Linked DNA regions of Pelodiscus sinensis. Each later gene encodes a partner of the first gene's protein in a complex. Links are inferred from orthologs where the notes say so. Each region holds a gene or a part of one and is shown in the gene's direction. Other genes may lie near its edges.

Region 1 (7,602 bases):
TTTGAACATGTGCTGGATATTGCCCTAATCTGCCTTCTCAAGGGAGAGTGTCCAGGACCCTTTTGAGCTAGGAGGAAGCTAACTGTGGAAAGCTGTCACCCAATCAAACAATCGCAATAGTTCCCCTCAAGCCCCTTCATGTCGCCCTTGTCACTAGGATCAGTGCACCGTGTCCAGGCTGCAGCATCACTTTCATGTGGCGGGAGTGAAGCCAATCACTTTTAATGGTTTGTCAGTTAAGTCTGAATTATTGGTAACGGTTTAATAGATGCCCTAACCAATGCCTGGCCTATTCTGAAACTGAATGAGCCTCTACGCTGCTTGCAGTCTCTAATTGCCGCCTGCTGTACCCGCCTGCAAAGTGAAGCCAGGAGAGATTCAACCCGCCCCCTTTGTTCAGGTGAGTTACAGCCTGGGTGCTGCATGTGATGACCTCATAATGCTGAGGAATGCCTGGCTCAGTCCATCCCTGAAGGGGTGTGGGTGGGGGGGGTAAATCCCTTGTCCAGCTCTGCCAGGACGTGCTGCCAGATGCTTGAAAAGCTCTGCCTGGATGGAAATGCTTCAAACGCCACCCCACTCATGCGAACGGGCTGGGAAGATGCATTGACCACGCACAAAGCTACAGGCTCTGAGAGACGCACATGATCTGACTCTAACGTGATCTCACTCACTTTTGGTCTCACATGGTTGGATGTCAGCCAGTCAATGCACACAGCCCTGGGGGAAATTACAGAGCCGTGGTCTGCTGCCTAGATGCCCAAGCCATGAACAATGGCCCCGAGCAAGTCCCTATTTCAGACAGACGGCTGCTGTTTATGAACTTGGGCTTTGCCTACAGTGAAGTGTGGCTCCTGCTCTCTCCAGTTACACAGATTATAAAATGAACGCCCCCCCCCCCATGAAAAGCTCTCCCAGGGTGGTGATCCAATGCAAACGGCAACTGCTCACTGTTCTATATATTGTTATAGAGCCTGCTCATTCATATTGTCTGTGGTCCGATCCTCAAAGGCCTTTTAAGTGCCCAACTCCCCTTGACACCAAGGGGAATTAGGTGCCTTTTGAGGATCTGGGCCTCAATGCGTGCCAGTCGTGCCCAAAGTGACTGTTTGCCGTGTCTATTCTTTCCTCATCTCAGCGGCGGCAGTCGGGGATTCAGTGACTTGGGTTTTGTGTGGTTTTTTTAAACGATGTATGAGATGCCAACTTGCTATGTATCTGCTACAAAAGAAATACAGCTTGCACTTGAGGCAGAAGATGGGGGGGCTTGGCATGGCCCTTAGTAGGTGGGTTTATTCCACAACCAGGACTGGCCCACAAGACAGCTCTGTCTCCTGCAGTAGATGAGTTTCAGCTCCTGGGAAGGAGACCCCTTATATCTGAAGAGGCGAAGTAGCCAACTGCTGTCTTCCTCCCAACCCAAATTCCCTGCTGCTGTAAAGTGACTGACACTGTGGTTCTGCCCTCTTACAGCAGATGTGCTGCATGTGCAAATGGTGCATGGAAGGTTTCCCGTGTTACATACTTGGAACTGATCTTGTGTTGGATTTAGCAGTGCAAGTACCAGCAAATGGCAGCTTGGGCAGTGCAGAATTCCTCTGTCTTGCTCCCGGACCTCATCATTCTAATGACATTGTGATCTTGACGTAGCAATTAACACAAAATGAGGAGTGGGAGCTGCTGACCTCTCAGTGAGCCCCAAACATCCGATTTTTATTTGCACGTGTGTAGGAACAAACCCCCCCTTGCCTCCCCCGACCCTGGCACTCGTGGGAGAGGAACAGAACAGTTTCTAAAGCAAAGGTTTGCCATGGAGTGGCTTTGCGTGAGCTTGCCCAACGGCTGTGCTTCCTTAGGAACTGAGCATCAGCACAGAACCTGAAGCACTGAAAGTTTAAAAGAAAATTAAAGTGGAGAGGGAGAGATTGTGTCCGGATCACTCCTGGCCTATTCTGGATTAACGGCTGCCCGCTATTTGACCTTGTAAAGGCTGACGGAGGGGTCAGAGTTAAGCTCAAAGCCTGCAGCGTGTCTTCTCCACATCCCAGGGTTACGTATGTTGTTGGAGGGATTCTGGCAATGTGATTTCTTGTTGGTCTGATTTCTCCAAGCCCGTGTTAGTAATGGAGAAACTGTCCAGTATGCTGTAAACTGCACACAAACCAGTCCAAGTTACTTTATGTACCATGCGCTTGAGCAGCACTTGTAACTACAGTAAGTGCAACATTGTCAGACTGTACTGTGATTTTTTCCAAGGGAGGGTATGCCTTTAAGCAAATACACAGGCTTGTTAAAATAAGCCTCTTAAATATTGCTAGGAGTTACCAGGAATCGTAAACAATGACTGGACTAGCCTTAGCCCGAACTAAACTTCCACCTTGTAGAGACTCTCAAAGGCTGCACGCTACGCACAATTTGTCAGTCATATCCACTCTGTTGTTTACTAGAGTTTTATTGGCTTAGCAGCGACATGAGCTACATTGCTCTGAGGATGAGAGGAAACTCCCTAGCAGCAACGTGGGGTCAAAAGACCTTCTAATGGCACGTGGCTGCATGAATGTGTAATTTTACACTCCGTATTTTTTTTTCAGCTCTTCAGCTTTTGCAATATAATTCATGGCATCAGCCATGCTTATCCCCTTGTGTGCATTCCCGGCCTCCCATTTGGCTTTGCCTATTAAATCGGTTGCACAAGGGCAAGGGATGTTGATGTCCCTGATTGTGGCTTGTTTGCAGAGACTGGAAATCTCCAGTTTATCTTGGTCTGAGATTGGGTCCTTAATTTGCCTGAGCAGAGCAGCAGCTTTCTCAAATTCCACCTGAGACATGGTGAGAGCTCGGAGTCAGGCCTGCTCCTTCCTTCCCCTGTGGAGGGCTTGCCAGGACTCGCAACGGCTGACCCAGGCCACGACCATTGGAATGAAGGAGAGTTGCAACAGGGGAGGAAGGCTTTGAAGTGCCCCCTTGAAAGACAGTTCAGCTGCCTTTAGCAGGAGCAATACGATTTTCAAAAGGCCTTAAAATTAAATCCCAAGTGTAGAGGAGTTAGCAGGTTTTTTACAGACAGTTCTTCTTGGGGCTATCATTACTTTCCCCTTGGGAGACAGGCTCTTGGTGTCTTTCTATATGGCTGTTGTCTGCTAGGAGGAAGGTAACCCTGTGCGTCTATATTGGCAATTTTCCTAGGAAATAAAGCACTGTTGCCTGTTATGCCATTTGGGCTACGTCTAGATTGCATCCCTTTTTCGTAAAAGAGATGCAAATTAGACGTATCGCAATTGCTAATGAAGCAGGGATTTAAATCTCCCCCGCTTCATTAGCATAAAAATGGCTGCCGCTTTTTTCGGCACGGAGCTTTGCCGGAAAAAAGCGCCAGTCTAGACGCAGATCTTTTGGAAAATAAAGCCTTTTCCGAAAAATCTCTTATCCCTCTTAAAATAAGCGATAAGGGATCTTTCGGAAAAGGCTTTATTTTCCGAAAGATCCGCGTCTAGACTGGCGCTTTTTTCCGGCAAAGCTCTGTGCCAAAAAAAAGCAGCAGCCATTTTTATGCTAATGAAGCGGGGGAGATTTAAATCCCTGCTTCATTAGCAATTGCGATACGTCTAATTTGCATCCCTTTTACAAAAAGAACTGCTTAAAGAACTGCTTCCTAGAGTCCTGATTATCTCACATACTCAGTTTTCAAGTAAGAGGGGTAGAAAAATGTTACGTTTCTATTCCTGGTCATGGCAGAGAAGAACCTGAGCATGTGACTCTTCATGAAAAAGCTGGAAGCTACAGGAAAATAACTCCAATATTTCTTATTAAAAGTTATTTTTTATGGGGCCTGACTCAAGAATTTGGAAAATAGCCACAAACAAAACCCTACCGTGAATTTTTGTGCTTGGAATGAGTCAGTTACATGTAAACAGTTGTGAGTTATGCTGGGGAGCTACTCCACCCCTTTTGTGCTATACTCAAATAGGTATTTACAAAGTGCCCCGCCACTGCTGTATGCAGCTAAGCAATGCAAACTTTTCTATTGGTTGAAGTACTTCTCTGTCCCAAGGGCTACCTGCTAGTCGGCTTGTTAGCTAGTAGGTTGAAGTTAAGTTCCTTAAGAGGCCTGGTGCTGGGCTGTCCCCAGGCTCGCTGCAGCTAAAAGATCATGGCCCCGTATCTCCTAAAACCGAGCTGTTTCTACTCTCAGATGCCGCAAATTCAGCCCAAAACGTTTGAACCACCGGGTGTTAGGGGGGGTGGCTCCTCCCTTTTCTCTTTGTTAAAAATGAGGATGCTCTTTTAGATGGTGGGAGGGGATCTCTGACTCCCAGCAGCAGGGTGCTCCTATCCCTCGGGGTGAGGGAATCGGAAGGGTCCTTGTGGACCACAAAGGGGCAAATCCCCCCTAGAAGGGAGCAGCGAGGCATCTCCCTGCCCAGGGCCCACGCGGGGCAGGTCCCTGCGGGGCGGGGGGAGCCTGCCAGTGTCTCGGTGCGGGCAGCAGGGGGAGCCAGCGGGACCCCAGCCCGGGAGCCAGGCAGAAGCGGGGGTGGGGGAGCTGCCGCCCGGGCAGCGCCCTGCGATCTGCTGCGTGCGGGGGCTGGTGCCTGCGGGGGGCGCGGCCACGTGGGTCGCAGGCGGCAGGTCGGGAGCGTCACAGAGCCGGGCGTGCCGGGCTCACGGGCACCGCCAGCGCGCAGCCGGCCCGGCCGGGCCATGGAGCTAGGTGGGTGCGGGGCCGCCCCGGGGGGGGGGACACACGCGGGGCTGGGGGCGGGAGCCGGGGCTGCAGCGAGCGGCCGGGGCGGCGCCTGCAACCTGCCTTAGCCGCCTGCTCGGCGCCGCTGCCCAGGAACCCCCCCCCCCGCTCGGGCCTAGGCAGCCTGCTCCGCGTGCGCCCCCCCCCCAAAAAACTCGCTTCTAAGGGCGGCTAATCCCAGCCCCCCCCCCCCAACCGCTGGGCTGAGCTCGGCCGGCAGCTGTTTCCACTTGGGGCGCTGCCAGATCCCTCGTGGCTCCCGCTAGAATCCCCCCCAGCTTCACTCCCCCTCCTGCAGGAGCTGCCTGCCTGCCTGCGATGCCCTTTGGGGTGAACAGTCAACCTGTGGAACTCCTTGCCAGAGGAGGCTGTGAAGGGTAGGACTGGAACAGTTTTAAAAGGAGCTAGATACATTCGTGGAGGTTGGGTCCATAAAAGGCTTTTCGCCGGGGTAGGAATGGTGCCCCTGGCTTCTGTTTGTCAGAGGCTGGAGAAGGATGGCAGGAGACAAATCGCTTGATCGTTGTCTTCAGTCCACCCCTTCTGGGGCACCTGGTGCTGGCCACTGTCGGCAGACAGGATACTGGGCTAGATGGACCTTTGGTCTGACCCAGGACGGCCGTTCTTATGTTCTGGGAGCAGGCAACGGAAAGACCCAGAGAGTCGCAAACAGGCACCCGCACCCTGCAGGGAAACCCCATGTGCGTGGGAAAACCCGGGCCAGGCCCCTTGGGCTGGGCGCTGGATTGGCAGAAGCATTTCCAGGGTGATTGGTGCAGCTCGGCTTTTCAGCATGTTAGCCCCCCGACTCCTGGGTTTGACTTCCCTGGACGCAGGCCGAGCTTTTCCTCTGTGGTGGGCAGGGTGGCTGCCGGGGGGTCCTGGGCGCAGCTCCCCTTTTAGGCTGTGTGAAACCCCACCGTGCGGGTGAGTCTGTGACACGGCTTATCCCGCCTGTGCGCCTCGCCCATGAGGGTTGCTCCCCGGCCCGGAGGGAGCCGCTCTCGGAAGAGGTGCCGAGTGGGCTCCAAGTCTCCCCGTTCTGCACTGAGGTACAACACCCAAGCCAAGGAGACAGCGGCTTTAGGAAACGGCTCCCTTGGTCCTTCCTCCATCCCCTCCTGCACCTTTCCCCTCCGTAGCCGTGCAGGGAGTTTCACAGGTTCAGACCTCAGCTCACACCAGCCCTTCCTCTTCTGGGCGGACAGAAACTAGGGATGTGAAAGGTTAACGGGTAAGCCTTAATGCAGCCAAGCCTTAATGGGTGAGGCTTACTGGTTCCAGTTAACTGGTTGGACTGGAGCAGCTCCCCACCCACTGTGGGCAAGGAGCTGCTCCAATCCCACAGGGCCCACCGTGATCAGGGGCACTCCGGCTTGGCCTCCTGCCCCCTCCTTTAATCAGTTAACCAGTTAAACGCTACATTTAACCGGTTAACCAATTAAATGGGATTTTACATCCCTAGTAGAAACCTTGGGTTCTCCGTGTGAGAGAGAAAAATGGCAGAGAGGGATGTGATGGTCTTAGAAACCAGCCCCCTGTTTGCACCAATCCCGTGGTACGCTTTGTAAGAGATGTCCCCACCCCCAGCTGGCGGGTGGGTGTTGGTACCCATTGCCCCAGGCCTGCCTGCGTTTCAGGGCTGTATAATTTGTGAAGTGCTTTGGGATTCCAGGGTCTATGCGCAAACAGGCTGATATTACAGTCCTCGGCTAGGAAGTATCCTCTTCCCTACGAGCTACTGCTGCATCTGCCTGTGGGTGTGGGTGTAACCCTCTTCCCCGCTGCTCAAGCCCTGTGCTAGCCCAGGCGCTACCGCGACGTGAGAGCTAACTGTTCTGTGTCGTGGGTGTGTCTTGTTCTCTTTGGAGTTCAGCGCAGTTGCACTCTCTCTCTCATCCCAAGAGCGGGGAACTTGGTGCATTAAGGGTTGTTTTTCCCCTGTAAAAGGGAAGGTTGAATCTTTTAGTTCCTTGGAGCATGGGCTGTAACAATTCATTAACGTTCCTCAGTATTAGTTGAAGTGAACTATTTGGGTTATAGCAGAACCTTGTGCTAGGCGCAGCGTGTACGCATAAGAGACGGTGCCCGCTCCAAAGAGCATAAGAACGGCCAAAGGTCCATCTAGCCCAGTGTCCTGTCTGCTGACAGTGGCCGATGCCAGGTGCAGAGGGAATTAACAGAACAGTAATCATCAAGTGATCCCTCCCCTGTCATCCATTTCCAGCCCCTGACACACAGAGGCCAGGGACACCATCCTTACCCATCCAGGCTGATAAGTATTGATGGACCTAACCCTCCATGAATGTATCTAGTTCTTTTTTGAAACCTTTTTAAAGTCCTGGTCTTCACAACATCCTCTAGCAAGGAGTTCCACAGATGGACGGTGTGCGGTATGAAGAAAAAAGCTTGCAGTCTAAGGAGATGAAACAGGATGTATTGCTAGCCCCATTTTATAGACTGACTAGCTTAAGATCAAACAAGGAGGATATAGTAGAGCACTGAATCCAGATCTTCTGAGGCCAGTCTAATCACAAGAACAGCCTTCCTTTCAGGGTTAATTGCCTTCATGACTCTGTGTGTGTGTCCTTCTCTTTCAACAGGACCCTTGAACATCTGTGAGGAAACAGCCGTTCTGCATGGCGGTTTCCTGCTAGCTGCGAAGTTGTATCATCCTAAAGCGTTGACCGAGTTGGCCAAATCTGACTGGTCCTTGGTCGGGCCGCCCATAACGGATGCCTTGAAGGAGATATGCACCAGGTGTTCCTCTCCCCCAGCCCAACCCAATGCGTGGAAGAAGAAAGCTGTTATCATCATCTGGGCCAAAATCCTGCTCCCCTGCCCCTCGTCCTCAGTGG
Region 2 (7,850 bases), on another chromosome or scaffold:
GAGTTATAAGGCTATTCTACCAGTGAGTTTATTTGTCAGAGTTTGATACAACTCCTAATTTTTTTAATTACCCAGTTTTATTTTCTATGCTATGCTTAACAATTGTAACCTACATAAGTAATCCTACTCTGCTTTTCCTAACCTTCTCCTCTTCCATGCTTCCTCTATTTTTTAGGACTAGCATAAGTTAGGCCTGTTACTATTTAGATGGGAGTTCTCCAAGTGGCAGGCAAACACAGGATACAGTTTTTTATTATGATTTCATTTGTCTCTATAGTACTTAGGCATGTGTTTTATATCAGTAGTAAATAAATACTACATTAAGAGGCACTGTACTGCTGGTACTACAATAGCTCAGATGAGATACAAGGTCTGATCTACACTTAAATCTTAGGTTAACCTAGCTATGTTACCCAGGGGTGTGAAAAACTCACTGCTTCTTGGGATGTAGTTAACTCAAGCTAAGGCTCAGAGCAGACACTGCTAGGTTAAGTGTAAAATTCATCCATCAATGTCGCCTATTAAGAGGGTTGATTTACTCCAGCAATAGAAAAACATCTTTCATTGTTTTAGCATTTGTAGTATAGACATACTCTCAAACTGAGGACCTGGCTGGCTGCGTGGGCATTAAAGATTGTGTTGTGATTTCTATAAGAATTCTTTTGGTGTTAAATGTGGTGTCCCAAACTAGGATAATTTTATGCATGTCAAAAACCCACCTCTCTTTAAATACAATATTGCTCACTTGCAGTGAGCTACCATTAAAGTGCTGCTGCATTTCACAATGATGTAGCTTGTTTCAGAGGCATATAAAGTTATTCCTGTCTATGGTTTATACATTGCTATCTATTTCTCAATCACATGAAACAATACGAAATCTGCTTGGGAGAACAGTGCTATTTCAACATAAGCTGTCCTCCTGCTGTAAAAGTTTCAGTGGCCAGAAATGTAAATGGCTTCAGTGAGTAGACAAAAGTCAGACAGTTTTTGGAAGATAGTCTTCCATAGCCTATTTTATCAGGACCCACTAAAGTAATGCTGAACATAATTTAGGATCCATATAGCTTGAATCCTTTTTTCAGTTGTTCATATCTATTTGGTTTATCTGAAGTTATAAAGTCCAGTCCTAAAAATGCTTAGCACCAAGTGCAGCTACTGCAGAAAATAGGCTAACTCATGGCCTTTGATAGTAAGGTCTTGCAGATAAGGCTCTTAGCAACGACCGTCATGGTCTTTAATAACATGTTCAGGCTTCTGCAGCACATGGAAACCCCTGGTTTATAGAATTAATGGTAGGATCTATATAAAGCACCAACAGCTGAATTTTTATGGATATATTTTCTGGTTTTGAGACAAGCAGTTACAGGGTTATTTTTTCTGGCCGGGTGAGATTTTAATATAGTCTGAATGTAATAAACTTGACATCTCCACAGTTTTCATCTGCATTTCATCATGTTCCAGATATTTATGCCTTTCTCTATCATAACAGTTTTATATCTCCCCAATTAGAGATCATATTGTTGCTTTGTGCAGAGGGTTAACTGTAGTCCAAAATTAAAGAAAATTAATAAAACCTGTGGGACCATTGAAGCCATACATTTCTGTGCACAGCTTGTCTGTAATGTCATTGGTGCTTTAACTTCAAGTGTTCCAGTGTCTTTAGATTCAGCTTTGACCTTGGATTTTTTTTTTCAGTTTGTATCAGTCTTCCGTGACAATTACAAAAGGGCTTTTTAAATTAAAAAATAATTAATTAAAAATCTGGCTTTTAATTAAAATGCATTGTTCCCAGACCTAACAAAACAAGTTAAATTTACCAGGTAACAATTAAGCAGCTAAAGAAGCATGAGTAATGTATAAACTTTCTTCTACCTAAACGAAATAACTGAATACATTTAAATTAAATTGGGATATACCACTTATAGCTGAGAAACCACAGGCACTCTAAAATATAATCTAAAACAGGGCTACTCAACACACGGCCCTTTGTTTGCAGCCTGGGGTGCAGTTTGGGTTTACATGGAGCCAGGGGTGGTCCTAAACTAGCTGCCAGCAATTGGCGCCCTAGGTGAACCATGCAATCGGCGCCCCCACCTCCAAACCCAAACCCCTCAATGATATTGTGCCATCATTTGGAGACCCATTTAACTTGGTGCCCCAGGCAACTTCCTAGTTCACCTATATGGATAGGCCACCCCTTCACGGGGCTCAATATGCAACGCAACTCACAGGTGGGATCCCTTGAATATGGCCTCCACTAGGAACACGCTCCACAATGGCGAGGCAGCTCCCAGGCGGGGTGAGCATTGAAAGATGGCAGCAGACGGGCTGGCTGGAACAGAAGGATACAGGGTGTTGGCATTTCTAGCTCCCAGGGAGGAGGTTCCAGGAGTACTGGGGCATTGTGGGAAGGGCTTTGTATTCATGCCTATCAGTATGTAAGAAGCTCTTTGCATATACAGCTGGTCCCCGAGTTGCGAACATTCAAGTTACAACACAACCATTTGCATTTACAACCAAAGCTCCCATGGAGCAGTCGTAAAGGCAGTTCCTGAGTTATGAACGCAACCTGCGCTTACAAACAGCACAGTCACTATGTAACTCAATGGGGATCTGAGTTATGAACAGATCGAGTTACGGCCAAATGTTTGGTCTGTAACTCGTTCGTAACTCGGTGAGAGGCTGTATAATAATATCTGGAGATATACCTATCTCACAGAGCTGGAAGGGACCTTGAGAGGTCATCAAATCCAGTCCCCTGCTCTCATGACAGGACCAAGTACCATCCTTGACAGACTTGCTACAGATTCCTAAATGGCCCCTTCAAGGATTGACCTCACAACTATTGAGATAGTAGGCCTGTGCTCAAACCACTGAGCTATCCCTCCCCTATATGCACTAGCTTTATATGCAACCACACTTAAGCTGTGGCCCTCCGCATGCGCTGTGAGTATCATTGTAGTCCCCAGTGCTTCCAAAGTTGAATAGCCCTGATCTAGAAGATAGAACATGAATGTCTTAATTTTTAATACTGAAATTAAGCCCTCTGAACAGCACAGATTCCCACATAGTATGAAAGCAAAAGATGTTTTGTCCTGTTTTAAGTATAAACAGCTAGATATCTAGTCTCCTCTATCTAATTAGTTTCCATCCAAGTCCCTCTCACATTCCCATGAATCTACATGTCAGTGGGAAAGTGCTGTGCTGAGAGTCAACACAGTACATGGACCAAGCTAATTTTTTAAAGGCATGTGGTTATGGGAGAGAGAAAAGTAGAGGCAAAAGATAGTGCTGGATAGGAAAAGATTTAGAGTTCCAGTAAGACAGAAAGCCAGAGATAAATATTCTCCAATTCTAAAAGCTCTTCACAAGAAAAGCACCAAAGACAGCCCATATTCCCTGTGATGGGAATACACAGAAGTGTTTGAATGCTGGACTTTAAAAATCTTGTCTCCTTACTACAGAAATATATAAACTGAGAACAATGCAAACTAAATATGTCACTTTCATTCTCATTCACCATGTCTCTCTAGATAAGCGGGTCTCAACTGATTTAACACTGTGGGCTATGTATGTAGAGCTCTGTGACACCTAGGATGCATTCACATTATATATATATATATATATATAATTAATTACTTATATTTAGCCCTGAGCAAGTCACATGAGCTGCAGCTGTGTGCTGATCAGGCCGCACATGACATAAACCCTAACAATGGGATAGGAGGCCACTGTAATCTCCAGAGATAGTCACAGAATGAGTCTGATTCTAGAGCTACTGAACTTAGAAATTCACTTCAGTCCTGACTCCTCCCGCAGTGGGTTTGATGGAGACATCAGAAAACTCAGTCAAACCTGTCCAAGGGGATGAGATTTGCTACCTCACACTAGAGGCTTCTACTAAGAAGCAAGGAGACAATGGGGTGCGTCTGCTGGGCTCTGCAATTAGTAGGGATGTCAACGGTTAGAGGACTACGCAATTAACCAATAAGCCTAGACAGCAGCCCCGCCCATGGAGTTCCAAGCTCCCTGTGAACAGGGACTGCTCTTTGCGGAGAGATCACAACCCGCAGACAGGGGCTGCTACCATCTCACGCTGGTGCCCCTGTATCACGGGCAGTAGTGCGCGGTGGAAGGCAGCCACTCCACGAGAGGAGCTGGCTTTTAAACCTGCCTGTCACCATGCTGATAGAAAGGCAGCAGTGCAGGATGGCAGGGGGCTCCCCAGGAGTGGGGCCAGGAGTGCACTGGCTGTCGCTCCGCCACCATGGATCATAGAATAGTTTTGTAACGTCTAAGATGTGACGTGGTTACATGACGATTCAATTACACGCTATTTAACATCCCTAGCCATGGCTTGCCAGCTCCTGCCTCCTGCTCATGCCCCACCCACCTGTGCTAGATTTACACCCCCGGCCAGCACTCAGTGCCCGGGCAGTGATGACTGGTGTAACCCAGCACAGTCCCCAGCCCGGCTGCCTGCAGGGGCACAGCCACTGGCACTTGCTCCCCGGGCATCTGACCCCACATCCTGCTCCCCCCCCCCCCATCTGGCTTTGCCCCCTGGCTCGGGACAGGGGCGGAGGCAGCTGCTGGGTGGGAGTCGCAGCAGCCTGGCGCTGCCTTTACCCCGCCTGCCTTCAACCAGGAGCGGCCCCGCTCCATTCGCCTGCTAGTCGGTGCATTACGGTAACCCCGCAGCGCTCCCCCCGATGCCTAGGCTCGCCTCGGGGAGGGGCGGAAGGAGCGGCGACTGCTCCGACCCGCTAGGGGGCGCGCGGGGATAACACAGAGGCTCGTCACTTGCGGAAAGATCGGAGGGGCACAAACGGTGAGCGTTCGCCTCCCTTCCGCCCTTGGCACGCATCACTTCCGGCGACGGGCTCCCACTTCCGGCGTGTCGTCAGTTCCGCCGCCATTGGTTCCCATTCCTTCTGCCCGGCCTAGCTCGTGGGCCCGGCCTGTGCCTGTCGCGCGCCGCCCTCCTCCCGCCCGTCCCACGCGCGCCGCCCGCCCTCCCTCAACCTGCCCGGAGCCGCCGCCGCCGCCGCCGCCATGGCCATGAGGCAGACCCCGCTGACGTGCTCCGGGCACACGCGGCCCGTGGTGGACTTGGCCTTCAGCGACATCACCCCCTACGGCTTCTTCCTCATCAGCGCCTGCAAGGGTGAGCGCGGGGGCGGGTGCGTGGGGGGGGGGGGTGTGTGCTGGCGGCAGCGCGCTCCTGGCTTTAGTCAGCGCGGGGGGGGGGGGCAAATCCATCCTCTGGCCGGGAACCAACCGACGCTGCCCCGGGGCCGCTTGTCTCTGATCTGCTCCCAGGTCTGTGCGCGGCCTCCCTCGGGCTGCCTGAGCCCCGAAACTGGCGCAGGAGACGCTCCCCCCTTCCTTTGCTCTAGTTGGGTTGCCCTGCGCTGTGGGCACGGGCAGGCAGGTGACCTGGGGGACACCCCAACACCGTAAACCAGGGCGATGATTTTTGATGAGGGGGGCCACTCCAAAATTTTGGTAAGTGGTCAAGGGCCAAGCTCTTCTACAGAAGGGGTGGGGGTTTAGGATGGAGGTTGGGTGCAGAAGCACATTCCAGGGCAGGGGATTGAGGTGCAGGAGAGGGCGTGGGGTCTGAGAAGGAGTTTGGGTGAAGGAGGGGTGTTTGTAGTGGACAAAGTACCCACTCCTCCCACAACAGCACAGAAGGGTAGATGAAGCAGCCAGCTTGCTCTGAACCATGGGGCTGCTCCCTGCCTATGGGTCCAGTGGGATGGGCTGCAGCCCAGTTTGAAAGGCTTTGTTGGCTGGATTCATCCCCTAGAACATTTCTTGCCTGCCTGCCACTGCCTTAAATCCTAATCCTCGCATGCGAGTTAAAAACTTGACTGATGCCTTGTACTGTCCCTGGGATGGATGTTGGAGTAACCCATCTTGGATGGAGGCAGCCCCAGAATTCAGTCTGGGGGGGGGGGGGGAGAGAGATATGTGTTCATTTTTTTTAAATTGTATCCTTTAGTGTATATGGTTGTGACAGTTTTCTTCCACTATTTGATCTGAGGAAGTGGATCTGGCCCATGAAAGCTCATCACCTAATAAACCACCTTGTTAGTCTTTAAAGTGCTACATAGTCCTGTTTTTTGATTATATTGTGTCACACTCCATTCCCAATAAGTGTGAGCTCAGGTTGCATAGCTGTTTGTTATGTAGTTGTAAACCTTATCCAGGTACGCTTAGGTCTGCAGTGAAATACCTGCCAGTTACTGATATTTTGGAACCACCTCAGGTTAAAGTGTTAGCAAGTTGGAAAGAATGCTGAAACTGCATAAATTGCCTTAGATTGTCTGCATACTCAGTGTGTCATTACTCCATTATCTGGCTGAGTTGTGTTCAGTTCACATCTTAACAGTTCTTATCATAATCTTAAGGGTTAGAGACTTAAACATTTGGCTAGTGAATTTTTTAAATTCTAAAATTAGGCATTGTCATCAGGTGAATATACAGTTCCCCAAGTTACTGTGAGCCTAGCCTCCTTCAACTCCTATGGTGGATGGATTATAAAGTGAGATATTTTTCAAATAAATTAACTGGCAATAAATTGGACATAGAGTGCTCATATAGCTGTACATTAGCAGCACCGAATTGTTTTTTCCTCATGCTCATATCCTGTTTCAGCAGGGCTCTCTTGCAAAAATAAAGATGCCAACCTCCCACCAAATACATGCACATTTTATTTATTTATACTCCTCTCTTCCCTCCTTTTTTGACAGTACTCCTGGATCTTTTATTTAGTCCGGGTTGTATTTTTTCTGCAATAATCTTTCTAGATCTTTAGTTTTAAACAACTGCCATATATATCTGAAAAGTAATCTATGTATAAGACAATTTTAAAGTGAAATGTTGTGCAACTAGTGTTGGCATCAAAAACAGGTTCTAATATAGTTAAACTAAAACAAATGTACTGTGAAAGAAAATGGCTGATTTTTGAAGGAACTGAAACACAGAAAAACTGTATTATTTGTATTGCAGTAGTGTCTAAAAGCCCCAGCCAAAATCATGGTACCACTTTGTTAGCTGTACATAGCAAGAAGTAGTCCTTATTTGTACAGATACAGAATTAAAGATCCATGTTTATTAAATTGGTAACAAAATATATTGCATTAAAAGTATGTCACATTTTTATTGTCAGAGTGCACTGGTATTTTCTTTTTTTTTTCTAGAATAGTGTACATGGACTATGCTTGCTGTTAAGTAAAATAAAACTGTTCTGTCTGAAAATTTATCTGTTTTTTGCCTAGATGGTAAACCTATGTTACGCCAGGGTGACACAGGAGACTGGATTGGAACATTTCTAGGTCATAAAGGTGCTGTCTGGGGTGCCACTCTGAATAAGGATGCCACTAAAGCAGCTACAGCAGCTGCAGATTTTACAGCGTAAGTAATGATTAACATTGAAATTTCAACTGTTGTGATTTCATCTTGTGGTGGTGGTTTTTCTGAATTGTGGTTTTAAAACAATTGCTGTTTTATGTGTTTACCCTTTAATAAACCATTAGTTACAGATGTGTACCTGGAAAATTTAGAAACTGAGGGTTTGGGTATTTTATTCAAGTACAGTAATAGTAGTTAATTGTCATTATCAGCTGTCCCTTGACTTGAGGATGATGTCTGCCAGGGGAAAAAAGTAATTGACTGGACTTAAAATGACTGCAGAGTCCAATCTATGGCTTATAGGTTTTTCCACATGTGTAACAGGTGGTTGCTTGGAGAGACAGGGCACAATTGCTGACTGGAATACTACACAGTTTCTTTCCTTCTCTGCTGTTTCTCAGCCTCTTGAGCAGTGTAGTTCTCGAAAACAG
Region 3 (8,012 bases), on another chromosome or scaffold:
CTGAGCCATTAGCCATTATCTTTGAAAAGTTATGGAATATGGGAAAGATTCTAGAAAACTGGAAAAGGGTAAATATAGTGCCCAACAATAAAAAGGGAAATAAATTGCAGCAAGAGAGATCTAGGTTAGAAATAAGGAAAAAGTCCTTTACAGCATGGTTAAGCACAGGAATAAATTGCCTAGGGAGACTGGGGAATCTCCATCATTGGAGATTTTTAAGAGCAGATTAGAGAGACATCTGTCAGGGATGGTTTAAATAATACTTAGTCCTTCTGCCATCAGTGCAGATGACTGTACTAGATGATTTTTCAAGGTTTCTTCAAGTTCTGTGATTCTATGATTATGTTCCTAAATGAATTCATTTAAATGTAGGCCTGCCCATTGGGAGAGGGGAGAGAAAAGGGGGCAACTGTCCTCTGGCCCTGAGATTCAAAAGGACCCGAAGCTCCCAGCTGCTGCCATTGATGCTGTGGCAGTGGCAATGCCCAAACCCCAGAGACATTTAAATCACTGCCAGAGTGACACGCAGCATGCTCTGGGTGGCATAGGGCTGCCTGAGGAAGAGGGAGCACTGCATAGCACACTCCAGACAGCATTGAGGGAGGGGACCATTGTCTGGGAGGCACTAAGGGCCTTGCCCACCCCTTTCTAGAAGCATGGAGCTGGTCCCTCCACAATTTGCTCAGGGACCCTGCGTGGCTATGGGCTGCCCTTTTCAAATGCAATTTTTCCAACATACTTTAGCAAGCAACAATAGCGTTTAGCCCTCAATGTATCAGAGTTTTTGTTTAGGCTACAAGCTACTGTATCCGTTTTTATTTTCTTCCAAGAACTGGTGATTAAATTTACAAAGCAATGTTACCACACCAGAATGGTTTTATCCAACAAGTCTGAGAGAAAGGATTTAAAAAGCTGTGGTCTTTTCTGAGTAATTTTATTCATTGTGGGGAGCAAAACACTATCATCTTGCTTGCATTTTTTCTCAGAGAATCTGAAAACGTGTCACATGATAATAACCGCCTAGAATCAGTGAAACAATATCAGTGACCATAACATCATTATATCTATTATTTGTATTTTAGCTGTGAAATCCTGTACAACTACTATTTTCAATACTATCCATCTTATGGTCTGAATGACTGGGCTGACTTCATATCTTAAAAGAGCTTGCAGACCAAAACAGGGTCCCATGTTTCCTAAATGGAGAAATTCTGAGTTCCTCCACACACTCTAATTCCACTATCAGTTGGAAGAAATATTGAGGTGTGAGTTGAGAGTATGCACTGTGTAGATACCCCATCATGCAAAAAAAAATGGTTGGAGCCCCAAATAGTTGGTTGTCAGATGCTGTTAAACCAGATGAAAAATTCCCTTAATATTATGGTTTCTGAGAGTACTCAGATGTTATAGTGATTGCCCAAAGAAACAGTGTAAAGAGAAAAGAAATGAGGGTCAAGGACAGAGCCCCGGCGTAGCCCTGTAAACCTCATCAGAGAGGAGCACTTGACAACAATCACTGAAAAATGGTCAGAGATGAAGGAGGAAAATCAGGAGGGTACAATATAGTGAAAACCCATTGAGGATAAGAAGTATGAAATATTTTTGTTACCAGTCACTGTAAAAAAATATTTTATAAGGCCTCAATCCCACATTTCTTGTACCCTGAATAGCACTTCAGGAAGATGCACAGATTTTGTAGTGATGGGGACCTTAGAGAGAAGCAAAAGTACTTGGATGAACACATAGATACATATTGGAATGATAAACGAGTCCAAAAACAACAGTCAGAAAATCTCTTATCTGTTATCCCCTGGTGTTACTATACATAGTAATTCCACTTTGCTTTTCTTACCTTATTGCAATATGTTACAGATTCACTTGTTAGTTTTTTGAATCATCAGTTCACATCCACGGGTGGCAACTCACCTCTTCTTCAAGAAATTACTCCTTTGTAACTCCAGGGCAATTGATAAAGAGAGAGAATATTCAGCTCTGGCTGTTTTCTTTTCTTCCTCCACTGAATCATATAGAGCTCTGTCAGATATTTCATGAATTCCATTATTAAATCTTGTTACTTGATACTCTTAATAGACCTTGGAAATCCACCAGTGTTTCCTGTAACAGTAAGTTTAAAAGTAAGTAGTTAATTCAAATAATATTATTCTGCTTCAAAAAGCAGTATTAGAAATGTTTAGGGAAAAAAAAATCTAGATCACTAAAAAGTTGCATACATTTACGCTTGCTGCATCAAAGTCCCTGGTTCTCTTTGTTTTTATAATTCTTGTCTTCACACCAAGTAAAGTCATAGATCTTAAAATATGAATATTTTCAAAAAATCCATTTACATTTTGACAAAGTTAAGGATTTATCTTTTCCACTGTGTCAAACTCTCCTGAAATCCAATGTAGTTTTGATTAAGCTGGTTTTATTTCAGACAATGTTCAAACTTGTCACGTGCACTAATAGGAAGTTACATCCTGGTTTTAGAGTAAAGCTGCCTGTTACACATAAATAATTATGAGAAACACCTTAAAAGCAAATAAAAATGAATGGAGAGGAAAGCTGAAAGTCATTGCTTGTTCAGAACTGCTAAAATATAGAAAAAACAACCAAAAGTGCCTTTCAGATAGGGCATTTATTGTAGCTAAGAAACAACCTAAGTGCTGTAAAATTTAAAAATCCTTGCACTGACTCTTCAGGAATAAGTACATAAGCTATTTGTATCATTGCCTAGAGTTATTAATTATTATTATTATTATTTTATTTATTTAAATAGTGCAGAGCTTTTTAGCCATAGATCTCAAGGACCCTTACAGAGAAGGGAAGTAGCATTATTCTCATTTGACACAGAGAACTGGGAAAGTTTTATGTAAGTTCTCTATAACGTATGTTGTTGTTTTCTAAATACCACTTAGTCTTCATTTAGGATATCCTGTGCGTGTGTCATCTTTTGTCTGAAATGTATTCTCACTTGATGGAGAAAATAAAACAGCTGCCTCAACTAAAACAACTGGTCTTAAGATGTAGTAAAGTTAGTTTATTTCTCTGAGACATGGCCCAAAACACTGGCAATGGATCCCTGTCTAAAAGAGTATGTCTAACACAGCAGCATTATTTCGGAATAACTGGTGTTATTCTGAAATAACATAGTGTGCATCTACACTACAAGCCTTTATTTTGAAATAATGTCAAGCTAGAGGACTTCTTACTCCGACTCATGGTAACCCTCATTTCACAAGAAATAAGGGAAGTTGAAGGAAGAGTGTTCTTCCTTTGACTTCCTGCTGTGTAGACAGTGCCAAAAGCCGAATTAAGCTATTTTGACTTAAGCTACGCAATTGACACAGTTGAAGTTGCGTAGCTTAATTCAACTTTAGCCCTGCTGTGTAGACATGCCCTAAGAGTCCAGTTCCTATCAGCCTCCTAATTACACTTATCTTTCCTTCTGCAGAAAGCAAAGGAGAACGGCTAGATGAGACAGGTTGGAAATAAAAAAAGAATTACTAACCTCTATTGACTTAAATGGAGAAAGATTGAATCTTAAGCACTGGTGTTGAAAAAAATACTTGCTAATGCTGATATTTAGGTTAGAGAACACTGCCTTGATCTTTTAAAATTATTATTAAAGAGCTATCTAGATTTAGTGGAGTTTTGATGATTTAATTGCTCTGCCATTTGTAGATTAACGTCACAGAACTATCTGGGCACAAGTGTGTTTGGTATATATAATATTGCTTGTTGTTTCTGTATGTTAAGCCAAAGGTTAGCCCTTCAAGAGGTTTTCTCATAGGGGCCAAGATGGTGTAGAAACTTCTTACTCTCTACTCCAATCCCAATCCATCATTCCACTTTGACACATCAGTCCCCCTAAAGGCAATGATGAGACATAAATCTGTTGGCCAACTGTTACATTTCATTTTGCCATTTATTGGCCATAGTGACAGCAAACTCAGGCTATGTCTAGACTACATTCCTTTTTCGAAAGAGGAATGTAAATGAAGCAAATTGAAAGTGCAAATGAAGCGTGGATTTAAATATCCTGCACTTCATTTGCATATTTGCATCCAAGCACTTTTTCAAGAAAGGGTTTTTCAAAAGTGAAAGCGCAGCCTAGACGGGATCCTTTGGGGGAAAAAAAACCCTTTTTCAAAATAACCCGTATTCCTGAAAAAATGAGGAATACGGATTCTTTTGAAAAAGGTTTTTTTCCAGAGACCTGATTGACTATGTGCAGCACATGATACGGAACCAGGACGAACTATAAGGCAATGGCCCGTGATGAGAAGAACTACTACCAGGACACACCCAAGCAGATCAAGAGCAAGATCAGTGCGTATAAGCGCTTCTACCCAGAGGAGTTCTAGGCTTTCACTGCATCCCTGCAGCCAGAGAAGATGGACCAACAGTGACTGCTCCCACCCTGCCCTGTTGGACCCACCCACAGCTGCCACCTCAGGGTACACAAGGGCAGACTGTCCCTGTTCTGCAGGGGCTGTTAAACCATCGGTGGGCAGAGGCTCTGGGGCCTGTGGCCAGAGCGCTGAATTAGATGTAGTTTATGGAAAGGATCCAGCCTCTGGGGAAAAGGGGGGGGGATGAGCATGCGCTAGAAGGGGCTCCTCGGGACGGTGCAGCTGGGCAGATGGCCACTGTCTCTGCACGCTGGGGGTGAAGGGATGAGACTTGTGTCCTGCAGCTGTGACTTGCAATAAATCACAATGCCCTCCGTTTGTCCCAAGAGCATATGGAAAATAAGGCACGATGCTGTTTAAAAGGGAATACGCCCTTTTACGCCATGCTTTGGTCATGATCCTAAATGATACACTTCCTGGCAGCAGATGACCCTGGGCACGATCATTGTTGCCACGGGAGTCAGCGGGCCTGCTACAGCCTGGGGCCAGGACCACATGATGCAACCGGATGGTCTCTGGAGGCTCCAAAGGGACGCTTCAGCTCAGGACCGTGGGGTGAAAGGGCCCAGACGCATACAGACAAGACTTCATGGAGCCCTAAGGAAGGCAGCGCGCTGCTCTACCCCGGCCGTCAGAATGGGCAGCCTGCCCAGCTGCCAGGGGGGAAACATGCAGTGCGCATGCGTTGTCTCCTACCGCTGCCGCGAACGGCGCTTGCAAGTCAGCGGCGTCCTTCCACGCGCCTGCGCTCTGCGAGGCCCCCGGGCAGCACGGGCCGTCGCGCGGAGATGGAGTCTGCGGCGGAGGAGCTGATGCCCCGGCTCCTGCCGGTGGGGGACTGTGACCTCACGGAGGATTTCGACCCCTCGCTGCCCCCGCGGACGCCCCAGGAGTATTTAAAGCGGGTCCAGTAAGTGGGGGAAGGGTCCGCTGGGGCTCCCCTCCAGGGCAGCGCGGCCTGTGAGCCCGCCGGGGCGCGGGGAGCTGAGCCGCGGCCGGGCAGCTCTCGGGCGCTGAGCGAGCTGCGGGGCTGACCCCAGACCCCGCTTGTGGGCCGCCCCGCCCCCTTCCTTGCTCTGTCAGCCTGGGTCTCCTCTGTTTCCAGATCCCGCCTGTGGGTCCGCCCTGGACCTGGGTACGGCCCCTGATCAGACCTTTGCAGACCTAGGCTTGAGCTGTAGCTCTTGTGCACAATCATAGGGGTTGGTCCTGAATGGCACTAGGGCTCCGGCTCAGACCTGCCGGTCCTAGCACCGGGGTCCTGTGAGTCCTAATTGAGCTCAGGTTTACAGTGCAGTGTGGCCTTGATATCCTTAAGAAATAAGTGCTGTTCAGGGAATTGAGAGAGCCAGGTTCTGCGTCTATGCCTAACCCATTTACCAAACCCTTTAGCTGCCTTGTCTCTAACGTCTAAGGATGTTAAACTGTGGTTATCTAACTAATCTTGTAGTCGATACAATTTGCCCTGCTGAACTCAGCATGAGCCGGGATGGTGCAGTTCTTGCTTGCGTTGGTCTGGGACGCTGCACCTCTAAATTTGAAATGTAGAAAGAGCCCAGCCCTGCATCTCTTACTATATTTAAAATGCAGAGCTGCAGCGTGGGTGGCTCCCAGAGATGGCAAGAGCCGGGACTGCTCACTCCTTGCTCGAACCATCTTCTGGAGCTACCCCTGCTGTGGTTCTGCATAGCGGTCCTCATCGACTAGTGGTGTAGTCGGTACAAATTGCTTTGCACAGAATGTTATTTTACCAACTACAACTGCAAATTATAGTGATCTTTACTTATGATTATGATGGAAAGTGGTCTTGTAACTAAAGCACAAAACTGGAAATCAGAAGCCCTGGATTTTTTTTATGGCTGTCTCACACATGGGCTCACTTTAAGCAGTTTTGTATCTGCAGGGGTGGCCCGTGACTATAGGCGGACTCAGCTATTGCCTAGGGCGCCGCCTTCAGTGGGGTGGCTGATGATGACGTCAGTCCATTGACAGCCCTGTAGGCAGGGGCGCCAATCACACATTCCGCCTGGGGCAACAGCTGCCGCAGCCTGCCTCAGGCCGCTCCTGTGTATCTGTAAAATGGGGGCACTTATCAACCATTCGTAGTCTACATTGTAAACTCATAAAACGTTTTAAAACCCTTCCAAATAAATATTTTTGCTTTTAACATTTCTTTCTTTGATAGATTCTCATTGATAACTTAAGAATTGTGCATGTGTTTTGAATTTGGTCAGTATCTCTTCATGAAAACTCAACCTGTGACTGTTTCTGGTTTTACAGGATACAGCTCAGGGATTTCAAATATAACCTTTTATTTCTGTTTGAAGGATTGAAGCAGCACAATGTCCAGATGTTGTTGTGGCACAGATAGACCCCAAAAAGTTGAGAAAGAAGCAGACAGTAAACATTGCAGTAAGTATCGTGTGTGTATATATTCTAAAGCTTTTTTTAGAAAAACAGATAGTTAAACGAAAAAAGCTTTTGATTTCATATTAAAATGTTTGTCTCTTAACATTTTTGGATACTTGGTGTATGCATTAGATATGTCCTAGAGCAGTGGTTCCCAAACTTTTTAGCATCATGCCCCCTTTTTGATTTTTGAGGAACCTTCACTCCCCCTCCAAAAATAGCAGCAAAACTTGTTGGGGGGGCGGGGGAAGGAACTGATAGGGGATGAGAAACAAAAATAGCAGCAAAACTTGAGGGGGCCCTCATGCCACCCCTTGAATTTCTTCACCCCCCCCTCCCAGGGGGAGACGCCCCCCCAGTTTGGGAACCATGTCATAGAGTAACTGAATTTAAGCAATCTGTAGAAGTAAATGGAATCTAGTCTTGCAGATCCAGATAAGTGGATCCCAGCCAGAGCCTGCCATTGTTCCCTGTAAGCTAAGTTCTCAGGTGTCCATCCAGGAGAGATTCACATGCCACCCAGCTGGTTAGCAGAGTCCTCACAGTTGGCAGCATGTTTTTCTACTAGTGGCACACATCTGGATGTGCCTTGGAGGTTGAGGAAAATCGTTGATACCCACAACCCAACATAATTTGACTAGAGTATGGGCTCCAGAGGGGCTGAGGATGAGAGCTTTAAAGTGTAGGAGGGGGCTCCAGCTTTGGGGGTGTCAGGACTGTGGCAGGAGGGGCTTAATTTGAGCAGTTTCCTATCAGTGGTGCAGTGGGGGTGCTCAGGCAGGCTTCCTGCCTTTCCTGCCACTTCAGACCATGCTGCAGCTCAGAAGCAGCCAGCAAAAGGTTCCCCACCAATGGGAGTGCAGAACTAGTGTGCGGAGCCCTATGTGCTCTCCCCTCCCCCAGAGCCAGGCCTGTTAGAACCATAGCATCATAGAACACTAGAACTGGAAGGGGCCTTGAGGTCATTGAGTCAAGACCTCTGCCCTTATGGCAGGACCAACCACCATCTAGACCATCCCTGATAGATGTTTATCTAACCTGATCTTAAATATCTCCAGAGATGGAGATTTTACAACTTCCCTAGGCAATTTATTCCACTGTTTAATCACCCTGATGGTTAGGAAGTGTTTCCTAATTTCCAACCTAAACCTCCCTTGTTGCAGTTTAAGCCCATTGTTTCTTGTCCTATCC

Evidence for each region. The genes of interacting proteins can lie anywhere in the genome.
Region 2: GEMIN4 (region 1) and STRAP share a complex: the UniProt entries of both Homo sapiens proteins name them as parts of the SMN-Sm complex. The link is inferred for Pelodiscus sinensis from reciprocal best matches to the Homo sapiens genes GEMIN4 and STRAP.
Region 3: GEMIN4 (region 1) and GEMIN2 share a complex: the UniProt entries of both Homo sapiens proteins name them as parts of the SMN-Sm complex. The link is inferred for Pelodiscus sinensis from reciprocal best matches to the Homo sapiens genes GEMIN4 and GEMIN2.

Annotation. Positions count from the first base shown.
Region 1 is NC_134731.1:4,455,315-4,462,916, forward strand, and holds the start of GEMIN4 (gem-associated protein 4), read left to right. Parts: upstream 1-4,517; 5' UTR 4,518-4,701; coding exon 4,702-4,711; intron 4,712-7,347; coding exon 7,348-7,602. Other genes in the region: GLOD4 (glyoxalase domain-containing protein 4), read left to right, coding at 328-429; diazepam-binding inhibitor-like 5, read right to left, coding at 2,568-2,828. UniProt on the Homo sapiens protein: The SMN complex catalyzes the assembly of small nuclear ribonucleoproteins (snRNPs), the building blocks of the spliceosome, and thereby plays an important role in the splicing of cellular pre-mRNAs.
Region 2 is NC_134711.1:112,442,450-112,450,299, forward strand, and holds the start of STRAP (serine-threonine kinase receptor-associated protein), read left to right. Parts: upstream 1-4,786; 5' UTR 4,787-5,055; coding exon 5,056-5,167; intron 5,168-7,286; coding exon 7,287-7,422; intron 7,423-7,850. UniProt on the Homo sapiens protein: The SMN complex catalyzes the assembly of small nuclear ribonucleoproteins (snRNPs), the building blocks of the spliceosome, and thereby plays an important role in the splicing of cellular pre-mRNAs.
Region 3 is NC_134714.1:45,327,881-45,335,892, reverse strand, and holds the start of GEMIN2 (gem-associated protein 2), read left to right. Parts: upstream 1-4,948; 5' UTR 4,949-5,092; coding exon 5,093-5,322; intron 5,323-6,739; coding exon 6,740-6,824; intron 6,825-8,012. UniProt on the Homo sapiens protein: The SMN complex catalyzes the assembly of small nuclear ribonucleoproteins (snRNPs), the building blocks of the spliceosome, and thereby plays an important role in the splicing of cellular pre-mRNAs.